Diceros bicornis minor: one gene and its partner. The protein of the gene in region 1 purifies or fractionates together with the protein of each later gene. This does not show direct contact. Links are inferred from orthologs where the notes say so. Each region holds a gene or a part of one and is shown in the gene's direction. Other genes may lie near its edges.

What was found.
Region 2: the proteins of PPP1R15A (region 1) and EIF2S1 purify together in Homo sapiens (affinity purification with western blotting; 4 studies listed by BioGRID and IntAct, with this or other methods). This does not show direct contact. The link is inferred for Diceros bicornis minor from reciprocal best matches to the Homo sapiens genes PPP1R15A and EIF2S1.

What each region holds. Positions count from the first base shown.
Region 1 is NC_080773.1:24,458,474-24,468,974, forward strand, and holds PPP1R15A (protein phosphatase 1 regulatory subunit 15A), read left to right. Parts: upstream 1-6,068; 5' UTR 6,069-6,481; intron 6,482-7,212; 5' UTR 7,213-7,221; coding exon 7,222-8,691; intron 8,692-9,111; coding exon 9,112-9,462; 3' UTR 9,463-9,543; downstream 9,544-10,501. Other genes in the region: PLEKHA4 (pleckstrin homology domain-containing family A member 4), read right to left, coding at 698-807, 966-1,066, 1,180-1,252, 2,593-2,700, 3,856-3,939. UniProt on the Homo sapiens protein: Recruits the serine/threonine-protein phosphatase PPP1CA to prevents excessive phosphorylation of the translation initiation factor eIF-2A/EIF2S1, thereby reversing the shut-off of protein synthesis initiated by stress-inducible kinases and facilitating recovery of cells from stress.
Region 2 is NC_080763.1:16,054,589-16,065,654, forward strand, and holds the start of EIF2S1 (eukaryotic translation initiation factor 2 subunit 1), read left to right. Parts: upstream 1-5,910; 5' UTR 5,911-6,060; intron 6,061-10,112; 5' UTR 10,113-10,113; coding exon 10,114-10,354; intron 10,355-11,066. Other genes in the region: ATP6V1D (V-type proton ATPase subunit D), read right to left, coding at 832-949, 5,262-5,302. UniProt on the Homo sapiens protein: Member of the eIF2 complex that functions in the early steps of protein synthesis by forming a ternary complex with GTP and initiator tRNA. This complex binds to a 40S ribosomal subunit, followed by mRNA binding to form a 43S pre-initiation complex (43S PIC).

The sequences.
Region 1 (10,501 bases):
AACATCTGCGCCCATCTTCCTCCACTTTATATGGGACGCCACCACAGCATGGCTTGACAAGCAGTGCGTCTGTGCACGACCAGGATCTGAACCAGGGCTGCCGCAGCGGAGCATGAGCACTTAACCGCTACACCACCGGGCCAGCCCCATGACAGCCCTTATTCTCGATTCATAGGTAAGGACACAGGGAGCTACACAGAAAAAAGGGGAGATGATGCAATATAAATCATTGTCCCCATTGTGCAGTTGGGAAAACTAAGGCCGGAGTGTGAAGGGACTTGTGCGGGGCCACAAGGTCCATCCAGGTCGCTGGACCCAATGCCCCAGACTACTATAAATCTCCAGCCTGAAAACGGGCATGCGGGGACAGACAGCCTGAAGCTTTTCTTTTTATATCTGACATTGTTTAGGTGACAGCCCCAGGGAGTGGAGACTTCTGAGGGACCCAATCAGAGAGTGTGGAATATTGATGGCGGGCTGGACCAAATGGTGGGCGGAGCTTAGAAGAGAAATACTTTTTGCTGATTGGAAGAGATGACGTTCCTGGAGGTGGGGCCTGAAAGGCGGAGTCTCCTTAGCTAGAAGAGGAGTGATTGGCCGTTGAAGGGGCAGGGCCTCAAGGGGCGGAGTTGGGGATGATTAGACGGACTCGGATTGGAAGTACAGGGTTAGGGGCGTGGCATGGACCCACACTCACCAATCGTCCCCCTCTGCGCGGGAGGCCCGGCCCAGCGCCCGTAGCCAGCCTCGCAGGTCCTCTAGCGTGTCAGCGGCCAGGACGTAGGTCCTCATGCCTGGGTGCTCCGCCTGCGGGAAGAGAGAGCTGGGGACCCGGACGCCCGGGACTTCTAAAAAGGAAGACGCCCGGGACCCTGGTCAATATCTTTTATCTCCAATAATGGATGCTCCAATGCCTGCCCCCATGGCCTAGTGCCTTAGTGTCCATGGGCGATGGAGAGACTCACGGTGAAGGTGAAGCGCCGCCCTCGGGGGGCTCCTGCCCCATCTGGCCTGATACTGTAGCTGGGGAGTAGGACGCTGCCCAGGACGCTCTCCTCGCGGCTGTCTGCAAAAGAGGGGCTGGGGTCAGGGATCACACAGGGATCTGGAGGCTGAGAACCTAGAGGACAGGGATGGTGGGAGGGGGGCCCGCCTACCCCATGCCAGCTGGGCACTGACCCTTGTAATAGAAGAGGCAATGACCAGAGAGGACGAACCAGCGGCGTTTCCAGAGCCGGAGCCCGGAGCTGTCCTGGGGAGAGAGATTGGGAGGAGAGGCCTGAGTACAGCGGAGAGGAAAAAAGGAGAAGGAGACAGTGACACTTGGGGACAGAGACCCAAAGAGAGGAAAGTAGCAGAGACGCATGTTTGACGCAATAGATTCAGATGGAGAACTGGAAGCCAGAGCGTTGTGGTTGAAAGGCCATCGATTCTGGATACAGCCCAACCTGAGTGTGTCTTCTAGCCCCACCACTATGCCCTTAAACAAGTCATTTCTCCACTAGGACCTTCATCTGTCACTTGGGGACTGAGAAGTTACAGGAAGGTTGGAACGAGATACTGTACCACATGTGGGTAGCGGCTTTATATTCCAGACTTGGTCCGATTATTCTGGAGCCTGAGACAGAGAGGCCGTAACCCCAATCCTGTCTTCCCATCATCTCTGCTTGAACTGCTCCACCATCTCTAACCCTATGCCCCTCTTCTCCTCTTCAATCCGTTCCCACAGAACCCAGCATGATCTTTTAAAATTATGGCAGATCATGTGAGTTCCCTGCTCAAAACAAAGTTTATCATCACGCTTAGAATAAATCTCAAATTCCTTACCCTAGTTTACTGGCTTGCTGAGAATCTCAAATTTGGGCATGCATGAAAATTACCAGGAGGCATTGTTAAAACACAGGTTCCTGGGACCCGTCCCCAGAGCTCCTGTGCCAGTAGATCCAGGGTGGGACCTGACAATGTGCATTTCCAGCATGTTCCCAGGTGACACTGATGCTGCTGGTCCAGGACACGTTGAGAATGGCTGCCCTGCCAAACCTCTCTCCCCCCTTGGCTCACTCCAAACACCAAGCTTTGACCTGCTGCAGGGTCTTTCGCTCTCGGATTCCCTCTGCCCCCCAGATCTTAGCATGAAGGGGTCCTTCTTGTCCTTTAGTTCTCAGCTCAAATGTCATCTCAGAGAAGCCTTCCCTGACCAACAGTCAAACGCAGCTCTCATCCCTCAGCCACTTTTGAGCACATCCCCGTGTTATTTCTTCGCAGCAGTTCCTACAATCTGAAACCATCGAGTCCATTTATTTATATGTATGAATTCATTATCCATCCCTGCCCCACCCCCATCTTGAATGTACAGTACTATAGACACTTGTTTGTCTTATTTGCATAAGTGCCCCAGGGCTTGGTACCTTGTAAATATTCAAGAAGTCGTCACTGAATGAATGAGTGGATGAATGAAACAATGGCAGAATAAGAGAAGTAGTGATAGGAAAAAAAGAAACATATTTGGAGACTTGGAAGGAGAGAAACAGCAGACAGCCAGGGGCACAGCCTCTAGCGGGGGTGTCCTTTCCCTTTTCCTGCTCACCCCACCTGCTTATGAAGCCAGCCTCGGATGTGCACGGGGAGGTTGGGATCCCTTCTGAGCGCATTGCCCCTCTTCCCGAAGGCGTGGACCTTGCTTACTGCCCGGGTGGGCTTCTGAGGAGAGAAGGAGAACAGAAGTGAACAAGGCCTCGGGATGGGCTTGGGGAGGTGGTGCAGCGGGACGCAGGCAACCTGAGGCCCTCACTTGGCTGCCTTTAGAAACCAGGTCAAGGAGGGAGCTGAGTTTCGAGATCGGAATTGCGTGTGCGTCGTGCAGAGTTGAGAGACACTCTGGATGGGCAGACGGAGGTGTTCGGAGGCAAGGAAGAGGCTACTGGCTGATGGGGAAGGCATTTGGGAATCAAGAGTCCACTGCCAAGGAAAGGATGCCCTTGGCCACCAGAGTCAGGGATGTAGGACAGCCTGTGGGATCCGAACTGGAAATATTGCCTGGGAGGGCCTCATCATCAGGAGGGTCCTCCATGCTGAGTCCCTGGAAATGGGTCGGCCAGAATCGAAGGACACCTCAGTGCCGGGTAGTGACATCCCTTAGCAACCATGTCCACGGTAGAGAGATGGCTCCAAACCTCTCCCAACAGATGGAGCCCCCTCTCCTGTGCACACAAGCATTTCAGGCATCCACAGCCAGATTCCCACAGGATGCCCTTCCTTGGGGATGGTACTGACCAAGATCAGGATCAAATCTGTGGATTCTGAACTCGGGAAAATGGACATGAGTGAAGAGAATGACAGAAGGAGAAGAAAATAAGTGTCATCACTGAACTTTGGGCTGGGGTGAAGATTTAGGATGCAACTATCTCAGGCCTCACGGGGTCTTATTGTCAGAGAAAGGTCTTTCCTTATCGGATTTCAGAGCTGGTTAGATGGGATGGCTAGAGACAGGCCAGGGAGTTCTCAGTCCTAATCAAGAGTAGCCACCACATCTGAGTTACTGGGGGGAGGCGGGGCTCATGTCTGGGGAGTGGCCCTATCTCAGCAACCAGAGTCAAGCCGAGTTATTACTCTGGCTTCAAATTAGGAAAATAGGAGGGGTGGGGACAGTTGGGAGTGGCTCTGAATTCCTAGCTACAACTGGTGGGCAATTTGGGACCTTACTAGGTCTGGGAGACCTCGTTGCTAAGGATCCTTGCTCTTAACAACCAGAGTCCCTAGGGTGGCGCTGAACCCAGGCCTAGGAAACAGGAGGATGGGGCAGCCCAGAGCCCCGCCCCCCCCACTAGCCCCCCAGCTCCACCAAGAAGCTCGAACCTTGGTGCTCAGGCTGCCCAGCGAGGAGATGGTAGAGGCGCTGCTGGCTAGGCTGAGGCTGCTCCGAGGTCTGCCCTCCTCCATCGAGGGCTTGGGGAGAGAAAGAAAGGGACTGTGTGCATATCTCTGCAGCTGACCCGGCTGGGGACAGAGACGGGGTCAGGGGCTCGCAGGTCGGAGGAGGAGGCTGAGGAGAAAGAGCCTGTTGTTCGGGGCCTGGGGGGTTGGAGGAGGCCCTGGCCCAGACCGCATACCAAGAGCGATGCCAAGAGAGGTGGGCGGCACTGGCAGCTGCGGGGAGGGGGCAGCTGTCTGCAGCCCAAGACAGAGAATAGGGGGTCCTTTATTCTCGCCCTCTGCCCTCTGGCCAGGAATTTGACCCTCTCTGTGCTGAGGGACCCCCCCATGCCCTGCCTCTTTCCGGCTGCCCCCGGCTACCTGTCTCCTGCCCTCCCACATGCACCCCTAAACCACCCCTGCCAAGCCCTGGGGCACCACCCAGGAATGCAAACCCAGGCAGCCCCTCCCAGCCCAGCCAGGAAACTTACCAGCTCTGAGGTCCCAACAACAGGGAGCAAGAGGGCTGTGTGGGTGCTGGGACCACAGTCTCCCTCCTTCTCCGTCTGTTAGGTGCTGCCTCTCATAGACCTCAGTCTTGCTTCTCACCTGCTCCCTCACACTCTTTTTGTCTCTTGTCTCTTATAGTCTCTCTTTCTCTCACACTCTCCCTTTCTTTTCGGCTGTCTCTGTCTCCAATCTCACCTTTTGTCTCTCTAATCTCTGTCTCTTCTAGTCTCTCTGTCACTCATTCTCTCCCTCGCCCCCCGTATCACTTTCTCTTCCAATCTTTCTGTTTCTGTCCAAATCTTTTTCCCCCGAACTCAGAGAGTCTCTTCCTTAAGTCTCCATCTCGTTCTCCCTCTCCCTCCCCCTCACAATCTCTTCCTCTTTCTTTCTCTTTCTTGCCCTCCAGGTCTTCTGTCTCCTCCTCTCTCCCAGATTCTCCTTCTCACTTTCTCTCTTCCTCCCTCTCCCAGTTTCTCTTTCCTCTCTGCTGGTTTGCCAGCCGCCCACGCTGCTGTCTCCCCTCCCAATCCCGGCTGACCCCGCCCCTCCTGGCCTCCCCACCACAGCCTGACCCCCTGGCTCAGCTACCCCCACAGCTGAGGGGAGGGGCTGGGGCCCCCCTGACTCTTGGGTCCCTGCTGCGGTGGGGGCCTGGAAAGCCGGGGTCCCATAAGGGCTGAGACTGGGATTCCTAAATGTTTGGAGAGTAGGAGGTGGGCGTGGACTCCAGGGCCCCGGTGGGCTGGTTGTCATCAGGGGCATGGGTCATTGGCCCCCTGAATGGAGGTAGCTTGGATCTTGGAAGGGGTGGGAGCTCAGATTTCTGGGTACCTGAGCAGGTGTGAGCCAGGAAGCAGGACTCCTGAGTTGTGAATGGAGCCGGGGGTCTGGAAGCGTGGCTTTGAGTGGAAGGGTCCCAGTCCTGCAGGGAGGAGGGAGTGGCCCTGGATCCTGGATTCTGGCTAGAGCAGGGTCAAGTAGCCAGGGTCAGATGTCCACCTCAGATCCAGGTGAGAATTCTGTTCTAGACTGAGGATGACCCCCTTAGGAGGGAAGCATGGTTCAGGGCGTATTTTGAGAAGAATTGTGGACCCGGAAGGGGGGATGGTGCGGCAAGGGCCGGGAATTGGGGCTGTGTCTCTGGGCCTGGAACTTGTGGCAGACCTCCCATGAGGTTCATTGATGCTACCCAGCAAGAATTTGAGTTTGTGTAAAAACAAGGCTTTCGTATGAGTTTGAAGCAGGTGAAATTGAGGAGTGGAATCTTGTGCCTGAGGCCAGGAAGGGGTCTGAGCTTTTGGTTTAGTATCCACTCACTACATATTTGCTGAGCACCTACTGTGTGCCAGGCACTGAGAAGAAAGCACGGAGCAAAGCCAAGTGCTGCCCTCAGAGTGCTGACATTCTTGTTCTCATTTGCAATGAATCTAGACTCTACTGTGACCACCTTGGGCAAGTAACCTCATTCCCAAGACTCACTTTCCTGATCTGCGAAATGGAAACAATAATACTATCCCACACCGGGGAGGACGTGAAGGTGGGAGAGTCTAGACTGGGACCTGCTGGTTAAATTGGGGAGGGAAGGCGTTTGCCTGGAACAGGAGTTTAGAGACGTCCCTCTCTGCTAAAGCCATTCACGCGTTTGATTGACAGCTCGCCTGCTTCCGGGCGTGGCTACGCTCCGAAACTCCGCCGTGACGTCACAAAGCTCGGACTTTCCGCGAGAATTCCAACCCTATTTTCCCTTCCCCCACGTCTTCGTTTCGAAACCCCGCCTCTCCTAGTGACGTCATCACGTCCGGCCGCGTTAGACTATAAAAGTCTCGCGGGCGGCGTCAGAGCTGATTAGCTCCCAGCTGTTGACTGCATGTATTTTCTGGCACGACTCCGCGTCCGTTTGTCGCGACAGCGCTTGGTGTCTTGAGTGACTTGAGTCACCGAACCCGACGCCGGAGGGCGAAATGAACGCACTGGCCTCCCGAGCCGTCCGGACCTGCGATCGCTTGTGGAAGACCGAGCCCGCGCTCCTGCCCCCGGGGTGACGCACAGCCCCGAGCCGGTGAGTGAGGGGTCGGAACGCCTGGGTCCCGAGGGGCTGGGGGCTGGGGATCAGACTCCTGGTCGGTAATGAGGAGGGAGCTTGGGCTTCTGGGTACCGAGACAGGCGGGTTCGGGGGCCGGGACTCCTGGGTCCTGAGGAAGGAGGGCCTGGGAGCTAGAACTCTTGTGTCCGGGGAGGCTTGGGGGACAGGGACGGACTCCAGGGCTCGGACTTAGGAAGAAGAAGGGATTGGGACCCTGGAGTGCTGAGCCTAACGGAGGAGGGGTCTAGGGGCCAGACTCTTGGGTCTCCAATGAAGGAACCATATGGGAGTCGGAATTTTTGAGTCTCCGAGGGAGGAGGGTGATGAGGGCCCGACTTGTCGATCCTCAGGAGGATGAGAGAACCGGGGACTAGGACTTTGTCCCCACGGGAAGCAAGCAGAGGACCTGCGTTCTCAGTTCTTGGGACCGGGACTTCTGGGTCTGAGGGAAGATGGGGCTGGGGGCTTGGCCTCTTGGGTCTAAGGAAGGAGAGACCTGGGGACCTAGACTCCTGGGTATTGAGGGGAGAGGTGAGAACCACGGGAGAGAGATGGGGAGTGGCTGGGATTAGAAAGGAATGTGGGCGGGGACTCTGCGTTGCTATTTGTGTTACTACTTCTGTTGCTGTGACTCACGGTCATTCCCTGATGCTATCCCCTAAATGGCTTTTAAACTTTATTCCCTTTTTTCCTCCCTTTTTCCCAGCCCAGACAGATGGCCCCAGGCCAAGTGCCGCATCAGTCCGCCCCCTGGAAGGATGCCCACCCCTTCCTCCTCCTCTCCCCGCTGATGGGCCTCCTCAGCCGGGCCTGGAGCCACCTGAGGGGCCCAGGATCTCCAGAGCCCTGGCTGGTGGAAGCAGTAACGAGTGCAGATCAGGAAGAAGCTGGCTTGGAGGGAGAAACTAAGGCTTCTCTGGCCACCCACCATGCCCCCGGGGGCAGGTACCCTCAAGAGGAGGATGGAGAAGCATCATGGGGGACCTGCCCTGACCTGAAAGCCAACAGTTCTCTTCTTGAAGCCTGGGGACTCTCAGATGATGCTGATGAAGAGTATGGTGAGGAGGAAGCCACCAGTGTCCCTAGAGAGCAGGGAAGTGAATTTATAGATGGCCAGCCTGTTCCCCTGTGCCCCAGCCTTCTGATAAGAACCCTGCAAGACCCTCCTAGGGAGGAGGAATCTGAGGAAGGAGGAGTTGCTGAAGATAAAGAAGCCATCACGTTCTCTTTTCCTCTGTCACACTGGGAGTGTTGTCCAGGGGTGGAGGAGGAGAAGGATGGAGAAGCTGTAAACAAAGAAAGTCCCAGAACATCTACTTCCTCCTCATCTCCGGGATCCAAACCCACAGCTTGGGTAGATTGCTCAGGGGAGGAAGAGGATCGAGCAACCAAGGAAGAAGAAAGAACAATTAAAGAAGCCACGAAGACCTCCATTTCCCCCTCAACTGCAGGCTCCCACCCCAGGGCCTGGGAGTGTTGTTCAGGAGAGGAGTCTGAGGAGGAGAAGGACAAAAAGGCTGAGAACGGAGAAGCTGACCCAGAGCCACACTCCTCAATTCGAGCCCAGAGGCCCCTGCTCAGGCCCTGGCAGTGTCAACCCACTAAGATCACAGAGGAAGACGATGAAGAGCAAGATGAATTCAGTGATTCAGGAGCAGCTGAGGGTCCCTCTTCCATCCCCCCCACAAGTGCCTTCCTGAGGGCCTGGGTGTATCAGCCAGGAGAGGACACAGAGGAGGAGGCAGATGAATTCAGTGATTCAGGAGCAGCTGAGGAACAGGGAGCAGCTGAGGGTCCCTCTTCCATCCCCCCCACAAGTGCCTTCCTCAGGGCCTGGGTGTATCGGCCAGGAGAGGACACAGAGGAGGAAGATGAGGAAGAGAATGAGGATGACGATGATTCAGAAGCAGCTGTCTCAGGGCCAAGTCCCTCCCTTCAGGCCCAGAGCGCCCTCCTCAGGGGCCGGATATATCAACCTGGAAAGGAGACAGAGGGAGGGGACGCTGCTGAGGAGTGGGGAGAAGCTGGGCCCTGCCCCTTCCGAGTGGCCATCTATGTACCTGGAGAGAAGCCGCCACCTCCCTGGGCTCCTCCTCAGCTGCCCCTCCGACTGCAAAGGCGGCTCAAGTCTGCAGAAACTCCCACCCGGGAAATGGACCCCGAGACTCCCCTAAAGGCCAGAAAGGTGTGTGCTGAGGGGTCAGATTCTTGGGTCTTAGGAAGGAGGGGGCTGGGAGCTGGAACTCCTGGGTCTGGGTGCGGAGGGCTGGAGGCCCCAACTCCTGAGTGCCCCGTGTGTTGCAGAGGGTTGCATGTCAATTCTGTTGGGAGAGCTGTGTTCACTGTAATGCAATCCTTTGCAAGAGGCTGGGCCCCTGTGGGAGGAGGGAGCAGCTGTGGCTCACGTCACCCTCAGGGAACCCACATCCACCCTTAGTGAGTCAGATGAGAATCTGGTGGCAGGCAGGTGACTGGCGAGATAGCAAGCATTTTTGTGTGATTAATTTTTGTTTGGTTCTCTCTCTCTCCTCCCCTCCCACCTGTGGCCACATGTATCTTGTGTCTCTATCCTTGTCTCCTGGTGGCTGTGCCGGTCCGTCTCCAGGTGCGGTTCTCTGAGAAAGTCACTATCCATTTCCTGGCTGTCTGGGCAGGACCAGCCCAGGCCGCCCGCCGGGGCCCCTGGGAGCAGCTGGCCCGGGATCGAAGCCGCTTCGCCCACCGCATCGCCCGGGCCCAAGAGGAGCTGGGCCCCTGCCTCACCCCTGCCGCCCGGGCCAGAGCCTGGGCACGCCTTGGGAACTCTCCCCCTTCTCTGACCACCATACCTGCCCCTACCCATGCCTTGCAGATATCCTCCGTCCAGGCCACGCCCTTGAGCCATGCTGTGGCCTTCCCCTCCCCTTCTTATGTGTCTGTATCTCCTTGCCTGGACCTCAGTGGGAGGCGTGGCTAAGATCATGTGGTTTACCTGTTATTAACTATTTATTTTTTTTAAGTGTTGGTTTATATAAGGAATAAAGCCTTTTGATTTGTAGTGAGCAATGTCACCGTGTGTTTCTGAACTGACAATATCTACTGCTTGTGGGTCCCGGAAGTAGTTGGGGGGAATAGCATAAAGGCAGTGCCTCAGGGCCGGCCCCATGGCTTAGCAGTAAGTGCACACACTCCGCTACTGGTGGCCTGGGTTCGGATCCCGGGCGCGCACCGACGCACTGCTTCTCCGGCCATGCTGAGGCCGCGTCCCACATACAGCAACTAGAAGGATGTGTAGCTATGACATACAACTATCTACTGGCGCTTTGGGGGAAAAAGAAATAAATAAAAATTTAGAAGGCAGTGCCTCAAAGGTAGGATAAACTACATTTCCCATCATCCCTCGAATTTGTCTCTTCTCGTCCTGAAGCTTTTGAACTAAGGTCTGGTGGGTTTTTTAGTTTTTCTTTGGCTTCCACCTAAATTTTATTAAACTTGGGACAATTATCTTCCCAAAGGGGCTGAGAGCTAGACTCATTGATCCCTAACAAAGGGTTAACCCCCAGTTTTCTGTGCCTCCCTGGAATATAAAGACTCATCCTCCTACTGGCCTTGACATGGTGAGTTTCTCAAGGTTTTCAGCTGCCTGATTTCACATTTATAAGCCCTGTGTCCACAGACTCCATTTTCTTATCTGTAAAGTGTGGCTAACAATTGCATGTACCCTATGGGATGGTAAGGCCCCAACGGAGTTCACATTTAAAACAATGCTTGTCAAATAACATGTTCTGTAAGCATTAGCTAGTGTTGGAATTATTCTCTCTCACCCGTGCGTGTCTTCAATTACCCATCCAAGTTTACGCCTCCAGCTTAGAACTCTTCTCTGAGCTCATAAGATCTGTCCAGCAGTTCAAACAAGAGGGGCCCAAATGTCCTGCGCCGTGCCCAGCCTCATCCCCTGCCCCCTCCGTGGGTTCCCCAGTCTCCGCCTACACTATCCTCCTTTCATTTTCCCAAAC
Region 2 (11,066 bases), on another chromosome or scaffold:
ATATATATATATATAAAATAGTTTCATGTTTGTTACTGAAAACATCCATGTGTGTGGCCATATACAGCCGGGAGGGAGGGAGGGAGGAAGGAAGGACTGAAAGGTTATAAACCAAAGTGTCACAAAGAACTCCTCTGGGAAATGAAAGGACAGTTGGGGCAGTGGGGAGGGGGACATGGGAAAGAACCTTCACTTTTTTTATATACTTCTCTATTCACTGATCATTTATCCAAAAAGCATTCAATTAAAACGTACTATGTGCCAGCACTGTTCCAGGCACAGGAAATACAGTGTTGAAAAGACAAAGAGCTTGCTCTCACGGAATTTACATTCTCTAGTGGAAGTAAACAATCAAACAAGAAAATATCATCCAGGAGAACATACTGTGATAAAAATAAAACAAGTAGATGTGAAAGAAGTAACTATGGTGGTCACTTCAGATTTGGTGATCAGTAATGGCCTCTCTGAAGAGACCAGAATGGCCAGACAAGCCAGCCATAAGAAGTTCTGGGGAAAGAGCATTCCAGGCAGAAGAAATAGCTAATGCAAAGGTCCTGGAGGAAGTTGTTAGGAAGAATGTTCCAAATGAGGTCAGTGAGGCAGGCAGGGGCCAGATCAGATCAAGTGGGGCTTTGCGGGTAAAAGCAAGGAGTTTGCATTTTACTAAATGAACTAGCTGAAACTTGTTACACTTATAATAGTATTTTTACCTTTGAAAGAAAAAAAGTTTAATTAAAATAACTTAAAGAAAAATTAAAATGCCAAGGGCCATGCTGGACTTTCCTTAGATATTTCTAAACTAAATACTGTTCTAAGCAAAGTTCCTTCTACCTCTATTATCTTCTTTAGGATCTGTCGAAATCGAAGAGTTAAGGCATCAGATTTTTTCTTCAGGAGGTTTCGACCTGTCTGTGCTCCTTTTAACCGAGCCTTCATGATGGTCTGTGCCCTATATAAACAGAGTTGAAGACATTTATTCCCAACGTTTAAAAAAATAAAAATAACTCACCAAGGGTATTAAAATTATGCTTTATTCTTTGATATCACCAGAGTGAGAATATACAGCATTTGTAGCTGACAGGTTTAATTGGTTTCTCAATACTGTAGATTTCCATCTCCAGTGTTCCATAAATGAGAAGTTTATTTATTTAAAACAAAACAATTCTTTAATCAATATCTGGAATAAGTATTTATTAAATCATAATAAAATTTACCAGGAGCCCTATTTTATTATGCCAGCATAGTTTAAATACTTATTTGATTTGTAAGTCCAAACAGTATCTGTGTTTCAGTTTCCATTAAAGGTATATTAAAGATTAAAAAAAAAAAACCTGTCCACTAATATGTATCAAAATTTGAAATGCACTTACCTTCAGGATCAACAATTCCACTTTAAGAATTAATCCTACAGATTTACTTCCCCATGTATACAAAAACATGCACAAGATTAAGTATGAGTACTCTAGCCTTATTTGTAATAGCAAAAGGGTGGAAACAAGTTCAATGTTCCATTAATCATGGTTCATAATACAATGGAATGATATGCAGCCATAAAAAAAAGAGGAAGGTAGATCTACATGTGCTTCCTATATTGTATGGTCTTGGTTATGCAAAGTAAGGGATAAATGTGCTTATATAGATACAGAGAATAGTTCTAGAAAGGATTCACAAAAACTGCTAACAGTTTCCTTTGGGAAATGGGGCTGAGTGAAAAAAATGGATTTACTTTTTAGTACTATATTCTTTTGTACCTTTTGGATTTTATGCCACAACCATTTATTACTTTTTCTATTAAAAGTGTGGCATTAAAGTGTTTTGATAACATCAATCAAGACCCTAATAGTAATCATTTTATTAATCTGTAAATGACTCTAGTTAACAGATGATATATATGTAAAGACTCCTGAGAAGTGACAAGCTACCGAAGTCTCTTTACCTCCTTATCTCAATGTTTTCCCATCAGAAACCCCAATACCAAAGTCAAGAAAGCAACAGCAGGCATCAACATTTCTGTTCTTGCTACCATATGCCAGATAAAATTTAATAATGGAAAAAAAAAAGTAGGTAATAAGATCCAATAATACATTGTATAACGTAGATACTTAAAGGGATTTGTTTAAGGGGATATAATTTCATATGACTAGTGTTACAACCAACTGCAAAATAGCATGTATTAATGAACCTTTTGGCTAAATTCTTAGATGATACCAAAATCTTTTACTATACGGCAAAGGTTACTGAGACAATTCAATAGCTGGAAGGGACTTTAGACGTTATCCTAAAAGCTAGGAAAATGAGGCTCAGAAAAGTGAAACAACTTTCCTGCAGTCACTCAGTCAAAAGGCAGAGCAGGAACTTGAACCAGATTTCTGACTCCAGTGACCTGCCCAAGACTCAAACTAAGGCTCAAACCTAGGTCCACTGTACCCCAACCACGTGCCACACTGCCTATAGCATCAGGTGAACAATTCTTTGGAAAAAAACTAGCTATCAGTGGCTGATTGGCCACTTGGCATTGACTGGCCTCGCTGGAGGTCTAACCAAGTGAAGCTGGTTCAGTTTCCAGTCTGAGCAGAAACTATCCACCCCAATGTGTACATTTAACATACCATATTGTTGACACTAACCATCAGAATTTGGGCTCAAAGAGGTGGATCAAATTTAAGTCAAATGCTAGTACTGCAGATTCCAGCAAGTTTATGGTAAAAAGGTGAACTGGTTGATAAAATTGAATTTACCATGCTAATTTTAATTTCCTCCTAGGTAATGGTACCTCTGTGAAATAGACAAATTTTAATTGAGACTCAAAGACTGACCTGCCCAAGTGCTTACAGCCAGTATGTAATAGAACCTGGGTTTGACTGACTTCTGTTGACTCTAAATCCTTCACGCCTCTGTTGCTTCCACCCCAAACTTGTTTTGCCCTCACTGGTGCCCAAGTGGGTGAAAGCCCGTTTCACAAGATAAAACTGCAAGGTAGAACTGTCTGAAACAGCAGTTGCTAGTGTATTTTCTAGCCTAGCTCCTAAGAAACCTGCTCTTTTACAAGTTTCAGAGCTGCTCAGCTCTACGAAAAATGTTTGACCTTCAGCTAAGATGATGACTTTGTTTCTAGCTGAATCAAAGACATCTGACTACATGACACAGTACCTGCTGCTAAGCCTTAGGAAAATTATTTAGAGAAGCGGTTACTTCCTGCACCTACTTTTCCTCGCAATTAGCAAGCAGAGTGCTCTCAAACAGCAATTTTCACCTTCACAAACCTATCATTTTCTTGTCTAAGCTCAAAGAAGTCTATTTTCACCTTTCAGTCTCAAAGTAAAAAAAAAAAATGTTAACACTCTGACTACTATCAAAGATCAACACAGCCAGATATCAGTTAAAGCAGTGAAAACAGATTTTATTCAATAACCACTGACCGCAGGGCAAAGAGCTGAGCTCCATTCTGATTTGTGCAGAGGTGACTTGGTGTTTTAAAGGAAGAATGAGGGAGGGGGGTGAGAGGGGACTCAGGTAGAGTCAGAGAAGTGAAAATCACACAGGGTTGGTCAGTGGAAATGTGATTAGGCCAGCTGTGTCTGCTAGCTGGCAATTAGGGAAGTTAGGATTCTATCCCTCCACAGAGACTGGGAGACAGAGGCCGTATCCCTCCTGACGATTACATCTCAAAGAAATGGTTTTCAGGTCCTTGAGAAAGACACTTCTAAGTTGGAGAGATATATACATCTCAAAGGGAGAAGTAAGGATTCATAATGGTAAGCCCTTTTTAGTAAGTGCCTTAAGAATGGGAGGTCAGGGACCTACTGTCAGGTGTTGGATAGAACAAACAAAATTCTCCAGGCAGCCATGAGCTTTCTCCAGCAGGCATTTTAACGGGGCCTGGGGTCATCCTAGGAGCACAGCCTCAGGCTGCTAGAAGCCACGCTAGAGTGTGGTGGACTTGCAGTGCAGAGGTTTGGACGGAGTCAGAGTCATTAAGTGCTGGGAGGTCTGCAGTTCCTACTGCCCCAGAGTAGTCCTGTTCCTTATCCATTTCACAGGCATTGCCTCTCCCCACACCGACCGGAGTCCCGCCAAGTACAAACAGCTATTAGAAAATCAGTAGGTGAAGTTAAAAAAGAAACAAACAAAAACCCCTTCACTTCATTACCAGCTGTAGCCACCCAGGCAGAGACAAAAATCTAGGTTTGGGGTTTGAATATAACTCTTTTATTTTAAGTGCCCTCAGATTCTCTGAGAAAACGGTCAGGATGAAGACAAACAGAAACCCCGAAAGCGACAGGACCACGATCAGAAGATCTAAATGTCAGAGCCAAAACTGATTTTCCGCTCCTCACTGAAAAAAAGAAGAGGAAGAGGAGGAGAGGGCAAATAGGAACATTCTTTACTTTCCACACGTTGTCAGGCACATTTGAGAAAACTTCAAAATTTTCTTTACAAACTGGCCAAACACCTAGGGCGCTATGCTATTTCTCCTGCCAAAGAATTCAGGTCAAAAGAGAAAGATTCCAAGGCACGGATTCGTTCAAAGAACTTTTTTTGTGCACTTTCTATGGATTAATAATCAAGACCTCATCCTGGCGAGAGCTCACAGTCCAGTGGGAAACATATGTAAATAAATACCACTTTTCAACGTGTTCAGAGGTCTGAACAAGGTGCAATGATGACAGAGCAAAAGGAGTCCCTCAGAAAATCGGGACATCTTCCCGCCGCAGGTGACATTTCACAAGATCTTGGAAAATGAGTAAGGGGATCCACGATCGAATCTAACGAGCACGCTAGGGCGATTCGATTCAATTCAATTCGCAATCAGAAGGTTCTCCTAGACGCTTCCGACCGCAGTAAACTTCCCTTCTCAGAGCATTTATCAAATCTCGTTGATTGTCCATCTCTCCGCTGAACTGTGAGCTCTGTGGGCAGGAGTGGCGACGATCCATAGTTACATAAATCCAGTGCCCGGCTCAACAAGGGAGTGTGGAAGGAACGGCTCGATTAGAGTCAAGTCAGCGGACCTCCACAAAAGCCAGCAGGCCGGGCGCCCGCTCCCACGGGCCGGGGTCGCTCTGTCCAGGCTGGTTCACTCAGGAACGTGTGAGGGGGCCGTCATGAAGCCTCGCCCCGGACTCACGAAAAGGGACTGGGGAGAGCTCAGGGTCGGCCCAGGAAACAGGGACCCTGCTGGTCCAGGGCATGGAGGGACCGCGGCTCCGGGCAGGCGTCCCTGAACCTGTGAGGGCTGCTCGTCCCATTCTTTTACTTACATTCGTGACGGAAAGATTTCAATTCGGTCTTTGCCCGACATTCTGACGATGACCGTGCGGCTCGGTCCCCGGCCGGGCTAGAGTGGCTGCAACAGCCCCAGCCACAGCGTCTTCCTCTACCGGAGTCAGCTGGCTGTGTCACTTGAGCCGCCTCTCGTTGCTAAGAGGCAGCCCGGACACCCATTCTTCACTTCCGCTTCCTGTCGGCACGGTGTGCGGCGGAGAGGAGGGGAGGGGAAGGAGGAAGGCGATGCCCGGATGTTGAGGCGCGCGCACCACGGAACCGCCTCTCAATTCCGGTTCGCCTTCTAGCCCCTCCCCCTTCAGCTCCCAGGCGGCTGCGCAAGACTCTGCACGCGCGGGGCGAAAGAACAGGAGAGAGGAGTACACTCCTTCTCTGCCTCCACTTTTCGTGTCTGGTCACAGCGCCACCTCATGGTTGACTGAAACTTTGAAAGAGGATACATTCGTCAGGGACAAGGAATCAGAATGTGCTTCTTCCCCGCGCCTTGAAGGTTACTTAGTGAAAACTAAAGACAACGAGAAAACGTACTTTTCAGGTCCTCTTATGACCCACCTTCTTCCTCGTTCTCGGAGGACCTGGACTCTATGGTCAGTGACGAAGAGGGGCCGGTGTTCTCTCGGCGCACGCGTGCTGCGAGGTGGTTCCGCATGCGCGGTGGGGTTGAGAGAAGCGCACGCTGAGGATCGGCGGTCGCTGCGGGTGGATCAAGTCTGATCTCTCCGATTAAAGAGCGTGGCGCGGGACCCCAGTGCGGGAATCACACACATACCTCAGGTGACTAGTCCCCGGGATCGGTGTCTCCAAGAACTCACTTTGGTTGTGTCCGGTGACAGGGGTGGTCGAGAGAGGGTAGGCCCCGGGCTAACACTCCTTCCCTTTCCCGTCCCTGCGCGGGAAGTGTCTGGACACTTCGGCCGCCACCCGCCGGCTGTGCGTGGGCCTCCTCGCCGGCTCCGTGGCGGTCTTCGCCCGTTGCCGTGGTGTCATTGTACAAGCGGAGGGATCTCGTGAAGGAAAGTGGGCCAGGTGGCTGTACAGCTTCTTCAGTGTGCTTATAGCAAGGATGGTTGAGGTGGGGCGGCCCCGGAGAGCGGTGTCACACCTCGCCCCTTCAATTTTAACAATTGAAGCTCATATTACCTTATCTCTCGAGTTGTGCATTTCTGTAGAATGAGTCACTCTTTGAGTTGAAACTGAAACATAACTATTGAAGAGTCTATTACTCTTAGTATCGGTTTGCCGTGTTTCAGCCCCGATGAGAATAGAGTTGTAGAATTACACGCTGTGGTCTTAGAGTTAAGCGTAACTAAAAACATAAGATAAGAGAATTTTAGGTTTAAATATGTATTTAGCTTGAGGTCCCTTTTATTATCCCCCAAATTTAGGCTACTTTAATTTTCATTAAATAAGAAACATTGTTTCTTGGAAAAAAAGGTGTAGCAGAGAAGTCTGGGTTTCCCCCCCCCCCCCCCGACTGAATGTTATTCGAGGGGAGAAATCTGTAACTGTGTGTTTTTCAACAGTCGGAGAATTATTTATATAGAGCTTTACTGCCTATTCTCAGTTCATCTGATGCCAAATGACAGTTACTGATTGTCAAAAGACCTTAAAAAGAAGCACAATAATGTTTGTAGAGATGGGTGCTTTCTCTTTCAACTACAATGAAATAGATCAAAAACTTTGTGTAGCACTCCTGACTGAAAGGTAGCGTTCAGAGAGTGTAACTGGTAAGTGCTAAAGCTGAATTAGAATTAGCACAAGCGTTTTCTCTATCACTTAAAACACTTTCCTTTGGAAAGGAATGTAGACTTCCTGTGTCCATTATGGTGAGCTGACCATGCACTGGTTTAAGCAAGGAGTCCTAGCCACCGTTTCCCTGGCAAAATCACTGACAGTGCAGGGTATTTGAAATTAGCTTGAAGTTCAGTTAGTATGTTTTGACAGATGGATATTCTTTACCAAAGAACACCTACCATGTTGTAGTACTGTAACATTGAGGCTTTGTGGGTTAAAGACACTCTGGATTTAATGTCAAAAGACTTGGTTTTAGCTCCTGTTCTAGTACTTATTAAGCCTCTGTCCTTGAGGAAGTCATTTAATATGTCTTTTCTTTGGTTCCCTGTTAATTGATTGCTTCACAGGGCTTGTTTCATGGTACCTTATATTGCAATTATTTGCTTCCTAGTTTGTTTCCCACTCTATACTTCAATTCTTTAGGTAAGAGTTGTAATTGTTGTATCAGTAGTGCTTAGTGTATAGTAGATACTGCAAAAATAATTGTTTAATAAATTGTTACAAAATGGAAATAACACCTCCTTTGCCTTTTAATATCTTATATTTGTATAGCACATTACACTTTTCAAAATGTTTTTACATATATTTTGTTTCATTTGATACTCTCCACAAATCTGTGAGGTATATGGCACAAACTAGAAACTAAAGTTCAGTGGGAATACAGTTCCAAGCAACCACAGCCAGTAAGTAGGAGAGCAAGGACTGGAACCCACCTCTAGAGCTATTCCCGAAGTTCACTGTGCTACTTGCCTGACTTGAGGGCTTATTGAGGGCCAAATAAAAGAAGTCAGAGTGCTTTGAAAATTATATAAAGATTGATAGACATCTGGTGTGTGGCTTCGATTTTCCTGACTGACTTTTTAAAAGTTAGTGTTATTATTAGCAGAAATAAGGAGATAATGTTCAAACTGTATCAACCAATATGCAGGTTCTTTGTGAAATGGATTCTTTTTGTCCTTAGCTACTTTCTGTCTTTATTGTGAGTAACATACCGTCAGCAGTATTCCCTTATTTACCCTGTATGTTGCAAAGAGACTTGTACCTCCTAAAGCAGAAGCATTCCTATCTCCCTTCAGGATTCTTTTACACTATTGCCTATGGTCTTCAACCATCAAATTAAGCATTTCTTCCCCCAAATTATCAGCTTTACTATTTGAAGAAACTTGGTAAGTAAACATGGTTAGTACCTGTTAAATCTTTTAAAACTGTTTCACACATTTCCATGATATCATCTATTTTGATACCCAGTTTGAAACTTTTGTCGCTTTCAAATTTTAGTGCTTTACACACAAATATTTGACAACAGTTGTCCAAAAAAAAAGCCCTGTTTTTTCTTTTTTTTTGAATGGAACAGCCAGCTCAGCTGTTTCTTGGTGGGTAATTCTGGCCATTGAATGTCTACTTCCCTTTATTTGCTAAATCCCTGTGTTGTCAAGCTACAAGAGAAATACATCTCTGCCACTATTATTAATATGCTTCTTTATTTTGTGTTAAACAGGCTAGATTAATACCAGAAGTTTGCACTAATCTGTGATATATGCTCCAGCACTAAATATATATATTAATGTTGCTTTTTAAGATGTTTCTAATTGTAATATATTTATCAATAATATTGAGAGAAAATATAGCCTGATGAATAAGAGGACAGACTATGGATCCAGACTTCATAGATTCAAATGCTGACTATCACTTGTTAGCAGTATATGACAGAACAAGTTGCTTAACCTGTGCCTCAGTTGCTCCATCTATAAAATGAAGAGAACTAGGAGGGGAAGTGGTACCTGAGGGAGATGGGCAGTGGCCAGATCATATCCAACCCTGTAGGTACTAGAAAGATGTATAAATCAATGGAAAGCCACTGGGAACATACATGTAGGTCTAGTTAGCCGTTCTCAAACTGCACTGCAGCAGAACTCTGGTGTTCTATGAGCTGGTTGTGGATGTTCTGTCTTAAGATCAAGTAATGGCAGCCTTATTTCCCAATTAAAAAAATAAGTTAGTAAATGAGTTTTCACAAATGTTTCATAGGTCTTTAGGCCCTATTACTGCCTATCTTCTGAGCTTTGACAACAGTAAATTGATTAAGTTTAGCAGAAAAACATGAAAATCATCAACTATGATTAATTTGAGAGCTTCCTTTTAAAAATATCCATCTACTCGTGTTATGATTTCAGGCTTATGGGTCATAAAAGGAATGATGCTGAAAGTAGGCTGGGTGGATCAAAGGGCATAGTTTTAAATATATTTAATGCTTGGAAGTTAAGAGAAACTTAAACTTTACAGAATGCAGATCTATAAAGCTATTCTCAAGATTGGGTATACCTGTTCAACAAAAGAGAAGACTATTTGAGAGTAATGGGAAAAGTAGAAGCTGGAAATTATATGGTAATGATGAATTAAATTGGAGTTTGTTTTAAGAGGAAAATATTTGGAGAGGAGGATACATTTTAGTTTAATATCTTTGGTGATTAATAAATTTTTATTTTTTGTCTTGACATGTGATATTATAATTTTGGCTATGATAAATGATAGGGTATATCATTTGATATATGGTTAAAGTTAGGAATTAAGTAGTCAGAAGATTCTTCCCTTTATGCAGTGGACGGTAGCATATACAATCGTAGCTGACTTGGAGAAAGAGTAGATTTAGTTTTTGGCTGATAGGTTTATAATAGCAATGATGCTTCCCATCATTTGTTATTTCTTAAAATGGTAGTGTTAAAATAGTATTTTACTCTTGAGGTCTACCTTTAATCCTTAGGTCTCAGAGTACATTATAGATGGTCATTATTTTTTATGATACCTCTGAAACTGATGACAGAGAATCATCCAAGCCTTACAAAAATTTGGAGCAAAGTAAAAATTAAAGCTTGGTTCCTGAACGTCCATCTGTTTTCTGGTATCACATAAGAAGTTTAAAGAGATAAGAAGACTAGTAACTTCTTCCACTGGCAAGATGTGGAAAATTGACTGACATTTCTTTATTTTGACCTTAACTGAACACTTACTTGATTCTTTTGTTTAAATTGCAGAATGCCGGGTCTAAGTTGTAGATTTTATCAACACAAATTTCCTGAGGTGGAAGATGTAGTGATGGTGAACGTAAGGTCCATTGCTGAAATGGGGGCTTACGTCAGCTTGCTGGAATACAACAATATCGAAGGCATGATTCTTCTTAGTGAGTTGTCCAGAAGGCGTATCCGTTCTATAAACAAACTCATCCGAATTGGCAGAAATGAATGTGTGGTTGTTATTAGAGTGGACAAAGAAAAAGGTAAGTGAGATAAATATCTAAAATACAAATTTCAGATTTAAAATGGTTTATTTTAAAATATATTTTTTATAAATTGCCTACTGCAGTAAAAAAAAGAACAAAACACCTCCTTTTATGCTTAAACTCTTTTACATACAAAGTTGATAGAGAAGGATGCCAATTAGTCATCTAAATAAGACCTCTTAAGTTAGTAGTGGTTTAATTAGTACATCCTAGGGCTGGTTTTTGTGAGTCAGATAACTTGAATTTTATTCCCAGAGATTATCAGATTTTATTTTATTTTATTTTTATTTTTCCCCCAAAGCCCCAGTAGATAGTTGTATGTCATAGCTGCACATCCTTCTAGTTGCTGCATGTGGGACGCAGCCTCAGCATGGCCGGAGAAGCGGTGCGTCAGTGCACGCCCGGGATCCGAACCCCAGGCCGCCAGCAGCAGAGCACGCGCACTTAACCGCTAAGCCAGGGGGCTGGCCTGAGATTATCAGGATCTTGATCATTGACTTCTTGTTGCCAAACTCAGAAGACACAGATAAATAAACTAGAGTACTAGTTCATTCATATTTGTCAGATGCCTTTTTATTGATTTAAAGCTAAATTAGTAATTAGATTATTGGATGAGTGTGGAAATGGGGCAAAGGTAAATGGATTTTAGAAATATTTTATATAAGCTTTGAAAAAGCAATATACTGCAAACACATACCCAAAACTCAAT